2 linked regions of the Caenorhabditis elegans genome follow. The protein of the gene in region 1 purifies or fractionates together with the protein of each later gene. This does not show direct contact. Each region holds a gene or a part of one and is shown in the gene's direction. Other genes may lie near its edges.

Region 1 (3,928 bases):
GGAATCCAGTTACCAGGTGGCAAATTGGAGAAGGTTCAATTCACCAGTTCAGTTTCTCTGGATCAGATGGGAAAATGATGGCCACGGTGTCACATGATGGGTTCCTCAGGATTTTCAATTATCATGCACAAGAATTGCTGGCAGTTATGAAATCATATTTCGGTTGGTTCATTATCTTCGAAAAAAATCAAATATTCATGAAATTTAAGGTGGATTGCTTACGCTCTCATGGAGCCCTGATGCAAAATTGATTGCCACTGGCGGCGAAGATGATCTTCTAACAGTTTATAGTGTAGCTGAGAAACGAGTAGTTTGCAGAGGACAAGCTCACAAAAGTTGGGTTAGTCAGGTCAAGTTTGATCCTTATTTATGCACAACCGAAGAAGATCTGGAAAATAATGGTATTGCGATGACATCTACGTTTGACGACGTTGCAAAGGATTTCTCAATACGTTCGGGACCAGTACCATCTACTAGTGCAGATTTGAATTCTGGAGTGATGAATGCAACTTCAACATTCTCTCGTTGTTCACTTGCTTCGTTTAACACTATCAACGGAGCTCCAGCTGGAAACAGTGTCCGTTATCGAATAGGAAGTGTTGGACACGACACATTTCTATGCCTGTGGGATATAACAGAAGATATGTTGAACCAAGGAAACATTCGACGTCATCGAAATTCAACAATAATTGCCCCAATGACTACCCTCGAAGTACAGACGAATTCTCTAGTTGGAAGACTTGAAGATCTTCAGGAAGTCTCTCCTGGTGGTGCTGGTGTTAATGCATCTTCTGATTCACAGTCTATAACTAATAATCACACAACTCCTCGCCCAGAAAAACAAAAAAAGAAGAAATTTACAAAACGTCTAGGATTTTCGAAGTTTACTTCTGGAAGCTCCAGTGCTACATCAAATCCGGTTGGTGGCCACAAAATTGGCACATTGATGAATGGTGCATCAGTAAATTCTGAAAGGTATGTCGATTTATTCAGAATTTATAATAATATGTTAATTTTCAGTTCCAAGAAACAAAACCCCGGGCTAATTTCTCAAATAAGCTGCTGTAACGAAACGCGGATGTTGGGTTCTAAATTTTGTCCAGGGATTCGAGATGTTCCTATGATCGGTAAGCTTATACTTAAAATTAAAATACGATTCACTAGTCAGATCCGGAAAATCGCGAAATTTTTGAATCATTTTTCTATCACGAAAAAAAAGACAAAATGAACGAGAAAGCACTTGTGAAATATTTTTCAGAACCGTTAATGTGCAAAAAAGTATCGCATGATCGTCTGACAGTTCTTGAATTCCGAGAAGATTGTGTTGTGACTGCTTGTCAAGAGGGATATATCTGCACATGGGGCCGCCCCGGCAGATATCAACCAAAACGAGATTGCATCAATTCACCAGGAACAGCAAGTCCGGAATCAGGTCAAAAACCATCTGGATCTACGTCCGCTATGACTTCTTCATATGGATACGGCTCAGATGCTTTGAATGGAGTTCCACCTTCACGATCATCAAGTACCTACAGTAATAGTGAGTTTATTTAATCTAAGAAAATGTCTCTAAAAGTTTTCCAAGTTACTTAGGCGAACAACAACTTCGTTCACCGAATATCACATCCCCGTCATACCGGGTTTCAGCTGCCAGTACTTCTGTTTATCATCGCCCAACATATGCCTGGCAGAATGCAAATTAACCACTCCACTTCGGGTATCTTAAATTTTCTTTACTAGGTTCTTATTCTTTTTTATTGTTCACTTAATCTTATTTATTGTCGTCAAGCGTAATGCTCTGATCTTTAGGATGTATACTGTAACATGATTTTTCTGGATTATTTCTAATTGTAAAGCCCGGCAAAGTTGTTTGCCATTGTTTGCAAACTATGATCACCTGCTCACATTTTTCTTTTATTAATGACTTAACGTTCCAACTTCGCAGATTTAATTTTCTATATTACTGTGCCAGTAGGATCCATGTGCCTAGTTTTTCTTCACCCTAAAACTCACCCCGTTTCATTCTCGTTGTTTAATTTCTGGTCTAATGAATTGTGTATTTATTTAAATATCGTTATTTTACTTCTTCTCGATTTTATTCGGTTCACCTTGCCGTTCATATTAACCATTTTTGCTAAATGTTTTCATATTTTTTGTGATTGCCATAATTTGCAGAATGTCCGAAGCAAAAGAAAATATGGAGGTCAGCAAAGCTGAACAGGCGATTTACGATCGACAAATTCGTTTATGGGGAATGGAAGCTCAAAATAAGTAAGTTTAAATTTTTTCGAATAAAATACTATTGTTTCGTTTTCAGAATCCGAAACTCTAAAGTTTTGATTATTGGTGGAAAACAGCTTGGTGCGGAAGTGGCAAAAACTCTGTCACTCGCTGGTGTTGACGAGATGCATTTAGTTGATCATCGGCTTGTTGATACAGAAGAAATTGGTATGAATTTTCTCTACGACGCTTCGGTTGATAATTCAAAGATGACGGTTTGTAATTAATTCGAATTATACATATCTTATGAACGTTGTTTTCAGAAATGGGCGGCATCATACAATTTTCTTTATAATTTGAACCGCAATGTGAAACTTTTCATCGTCGAGGAAGATGTTCTATCGAAAAATGATTCGGAAATCGAAGAGTATTTGACTAAATTCACGTTGGTTGTTGTTCTCGACGAGAGTTACGAACGTACTGCAAAAGTGAACAATATCTGCCGTAAACACCACATCAGATTTATTTCTGGAGCAATCTACGGATGGATTGGCTACGCATTTTTCGATTTCGATGGCCATGCTTATTTAGTGTAAGTTAAATCGTTTTAAAAGTCTCATCCCAATATTTCTTTTAAAGAAAAGCTAAAAGCCCGGATTGCTTGAATGAAGAAGAATCGGAAACCGGAAAGACGAGCACAGTGGTTACGGTAGATGAAGAATTCGTGCTTGAAACGTTTTCATATCCATCATTTGTCGAAACGCTCAACTCTGATTTCACGGCGAAGAAAATTGTGAGAAAGTGCAAACGGATCGTTCCAACATCATATTTCCTCGTGAAAAGTATGCTCCGCGCTTCCAGCGAAAATAAACTTACCGGAGTCACTGAAAACGATATTGAGAAATTAATTCCAATCTGGAACGAGGAGGTGGCCGCTGGAAATCATACCATCGATATGCAACCAGTTCAACCCGATCGATTTGATCAGTGAGTATTATTCGCACGAAAATTATAAAATGAATCAATAAAAAACATAGAATGTATTATCTTTTTAATTATTTAAAAAAACAAGTTAAAAATGTATCGTAATTTCAAAAAACGGTAGCATTCCGTCTTAAAGACGCACGGACTTATTCATGTGTCTCGATCAGGGCTCTGATCAAAAAACAAAAAATATGCAAAAAAGGTTTATGGTAGTTTTTTTTTTCAAATTTTCGCGTCTGCTTCCAATTTTTTTCTCGCACTTTTCAATGAAACTACTTCATTTTTAACGAATTTTGTCATTTTGTTTTTAACGCACAAATCAACTGTTTTTCATGAAATTTAAAGCAAAAAAAAATTTACTAAATATTAGGTCTCCAAATAAGTTCCGGGTCAAAAATCATAACTTTGTTCGCTGCGAATCGATTTTTATGAAACTGTGGGAATTTATGTTATCAACCATGATCTTTCATTTGCAAATAGTCACAAATTTTTTTTGGCCGTCCGAAGTGCCCTAACTCGGAGCCAATTTTTTCAGGCATTTTTCAGATCTCGCTTCTTTTCAGGTTTCAATTGAGGTTTGTGTGCGGATTTTGCTTAGTTTAATACACAATGTAAGAAAACAAGAAAAGTTTGGAAAAAAATCCCTCCAAAAAAAAAATTTTTGTCGAAAATTTTTGCTTTTTTATACAAAAATGATGTAACCATGTGTAAACTATTTTTACAC
Region 2 (3,698 bases), on another chromosome or scaffold:
CATCAGCCATAATACATCCATGAAATTCGGGAATATTAATACCAGTCACACAATCCCACATGAATTTAACACCATCTCTTTGATGCGGACGCAGGATTTTTCCAACAACCGGATCGGCTACCACGTGCACCTGAAAAATTTGATAAAATGGACATTCATATTTTTGCAATATTTGAGTCGTTTTTTTTATTCATGTTTTTTTTTCGATTCTCGCAGCTAAAATTCTCACCTTTCGATCCTTATCTTCCTTGAGTTGTGCGTGTTCACTAAGATGTTCAGGAGCATAAAGAATCAATGCACCTTCATGATATGGATCAAATAGAGCACATTTTCGACGGTTTCCACCAAGACCTAGGCTTCGACCAGATACTGAAAACTCGTTTAAAATAAACATTTTTACATGTTTTCTTACACATATATCCCTCCATCGGAATTGAAAACTTTCTCGACAACAACTTCGCAATCATAGCATCGTGATCTGATGATTCGGAAGCCATACGTCTAGAGAATACATCGATATTCACAAAACGTAATGGACTTGCTTCTTCTACAGATACAGGTGGTTCTATGGCAGGCAGTGCCTTCTTTCGTCGTCGAAGACCTTGTTTTGAAGGAGAAACTGACGTAGAAAAAGGGGAAATGAAGGTTTTGTGTATCTGAAAAACATTAAAAATTACAATTACAATTAAGTTCCGAATTGTATTTCATTGCAACTAAAAATATTAATACATTTTTCGGTTCCTCCGTTCGTCCTGAATATCCTAGACTTTTCCGTTTTTGTGTTGGAGCAGTAGAGCTTGTGGAAGGTCTGAAAATAATATACCGCATTTCCTCTATTAGTCTTGCATGCAAGACTAATTTTCAATAGACCCGTAGGGGTGCAAGACTAATAGGGACTGCAAGACTATTAGAGGCTACAAGACTAATTTTCGAAGATCCAATAGCTTTGTTAAATTGGCCATTTATCGTCAAAATTTTGACTTGAAACAGTCTAAATCATGCAAAATACATGCTTTTCTATTGTTTTATCAATTACTTGAACAGTTTAAAATTTAATTTAGCTAAAAAATGGCGAAAATTTTGAAGTTTTGACAAAATACTGCTGGCCTGGCAAGAATAGGGGTGCATGACTATTACCGTATTTCCTCTATTAGTCTTGCATGCAAGACTAATAGAGGGAATACGGTATGTGTTAAAATTTGAATTTTTTATAAAAGCTCACAAATTTTCCGGTGTAACTTCTCGTTTCCTTTTTGGCAGTTCAACTGGGATATTAACATCTTTTCCATGACTATCTTCTAAATTTTCGAACGTTTTTTTTGGCATTCCTGAAAACTAAGAAAATCTTTAATTTCGCAGAACAACTGAATAAACAAGTAGAATTTACAGAAATTCAACAAAATTTTTAAAATGCTCTTTTTATTCAAAAAGAACGGCGCCGCGCCATCTTGAACGAAAACAAAGTTTCGAAGAAGACGAAACACGGACACAGGGCGGTGTCAGCTATTAATTTTCAATTTAACAATTATTTTACAACATAGATTTGTTGTGAAACATTTTTTTGCTTTTGAATCAATTATAATCTTTTTAAAATTTTGAGTCATAGCGAGTCACTGCTTTTTCATTCCATGAATCTGCGGTGTCTGCTTTTGAAATTTCAGTTTGAGGTACGGTTGAATTTTTTGTGTGCATTAACACAAAAGTGTTTGCGTACTTTTGCCACTTTTTTCATTTCTTGATTCGTTTTGTTTATCGGCGCGCGATGAGTCATTTTTGCCGTAATTTCCTTGAAATTCCAGTTTTATTTATTGATTTTTCACAGCTTCATATTATTTTTTCCATTTTAGTTTGCCGAACAGCGAAACAAAAAGCAAACGATGTTCTCGCATGTTGTCGATTAAAGCTTTGGATTCCAACATAAATTTCACTTTTATTTTGTTTATATTGTGAAAATCGATACTTAAATAAACAATTCAAAGCAACTTTGATATAATTTAGAATATTTGCAGTGCAAATGGCATCCGGCGCGTCGGCAACTCAGCGGATCCCTTCAAAACGGCAAACGCTGGACGAGGCATATGCCCCGCCGGCCAACTTCCTTGAAATTGAGGTTTGAATAAAAATCAATGAATTAGATCAAGATAACTTGCAGGTTATCAATCCTATCACTCATGGTGTTGGAAAAATGCGCTACACGGATTACGAAATCAGAATGAGAGTAAGTATAGATTAACACTGACCGCATAATAAAATCGTTGTTTCAGTCGAATCTCCCCGTTTTCAAGCAGAAAGAATCAAGCGTGCGTCGCCGATACAGTGATTTCGAATGGGTTCGTGCTGAACTAGAGCGAGATAGCAAGATTGTGGTTCCAACGTTGCCAGGAAAATCATTCAAACGGCAACTGCCATTCCGATCCGATGATGGAATTTTTGAAGAGGAATTCATTGAAAATAGGCGCAAAGCTCTCGAGTTATTCATCAATAAGTACGTAAAACTGTTCAACTATACGGACATCAAAATGAACTCAGAAAATTTTCACATTTCTAAAAGTTTTAATAATATGTTCTTGCAGGGTTGCTGGACATCCACTTGCTCAAAACGAACGCTCTCTCCATATTTTCCTCCAGGAGCCAACTATTGACAAAAACTACGTGCCTGGCAAAATTCGTACCGCTTAAATTTTAAAATGTTTCTAAATTCTCCGCTCACGAGAAAAATCTCAAAATACCCAGAGTTATAGTTTTAACGCTGTCTGTTTCAATAAACAGAAGGAAACTTTTAAAAAATGATAATGTTTTCTTATCATATTTTTACATAACAAAAAATGAGTAACGCTTTCTGATCTTTTGAGATATTTAGTTTTCAAAAAGTGAGTTTTTAGAAGCTTTTTTCCAATTTAATCTCGGCCCATCAAAATATTGTTTCCATCCCTCCACCAAAATGCGGTATTTTTCGAAATTGTGTACTTTGTCCCCATCACCACTTCTTTCCCATTGATTTCCATTTTCTGGCTCCTGTTTATTTCATATTTATTTTTACATTTTTGTGTATAGTTTCCCAATTTCCCAATTGATTGCACTATTTTTATTGCATGAACCCCTTTTATTTGAACAAATATGAAAAATAAGTCTTCCGTTCCTTGATTTCGTTTCTTTGGATTTTAAAGTGGTAAATTGGCAGTTGTGTGCATATCGCAAATATCTTGAGTGTATCATTAAAACGAGCATATCTTTAAGATAGACAATTTGCAGGGTTTTCTGAAAAATGTTCCTTGAGAAGATAAATCAAAAAACCGGCGAACGAGAATGGGTTGTGGCTGAAGAGGATTATGATATGGCTCAGGAACTTGCCAGGTTTTCAACTTTAAAAAAATATTCCGCATAGAAATAAAATTTAATAAACAATACTTCTCGCATTTTCTTGCTTTAAAACGTTAATTTTCAGAAGTCGATTTGGAGATATGATTCTGGATTTTGATAGAAATGACAAGTTCCTCGCAGGATTAAAAACTACGATTGCTGAGAAAAAACATGAAAATACAGATGGGAAAGTTCATGTTTTAGATATTGGTTAGCTGTTAAGTTTTCAACTTATTCGGTTTTTAAAGTTTACTATTTACAGGTACTGGAACTGGACTTCTTTCACTAATGGCTGCTCGAGAAGGAGCTGATAAAGTGACTGCATTGGAAGTTTTCAA

What was found.
Region 2: the proteins of aos-1 (region 1) and snx-3 fractionate together in Caenorhabditis elegans (co-fractionation; one large-scale study listed by BioGRID). This does not show direct contact.

The regions. Positions count from the first base shown.
Region 1 is NC_003283.11:10,128,543-10,132,470, reverse strand, and holds the start of aos-1 (SUMO-activating enzyme subunit aos-1), read left to right. Parts: upstream 1-2,175; 5' UTR 2,176-2,176; coding exon 2,177-2,271; intron 2,272-2,317; coding exon 2,318-2,495; intron 2,496-2,543; coding exon 2,544-2,812; intron 2,813-2,859; coding exon 2,860-3,207; intron 3,208-3,928. Other genes in the region: wdr-20 (WD repeat-containing protein 20 homolog), read left to right, coding at 1-162, 210-975, 1,021-1,127, 1,259-1,540, 1,594-1,703. UniProt on the Caenorhabditis elegans protein: The dimeric enzyme acts as an E1 ligase for smo-1. It mediates ATP-dependent activation of smo-1 and formation of a thioester with a conserved cysteine residue on uba-2.
Region 2 is NC_003279.8:9,062,715-9,066,412, reverse strand, and holds snx-3 (Sorting nexin-3), read left to right. Parts: upstream 1-2,009; 5' UTR 2,010-2,014; coding exon 2,015-2,110; intron 2,111-2,152; coding exon 2,153-2,218; intron 2,219-2,264; coding exon 2,265-2,485; intron 2,486-2,573; coding exon 2,574-2,679; 3' UTR 2,680-3,135; downstream 3,136-3,698. Other genes in the region: rad-54.L (DNA repair and recombination protein RAD54-like), read right to left, coding at 1-130, 230-369, 413-656, 730-808, 1,223-1,326; prmt-7 (Protein arginine N-methyltransferase 7), read left to right, coding at 3,266-3,354, 3,446-3,570, 3,623-3,698.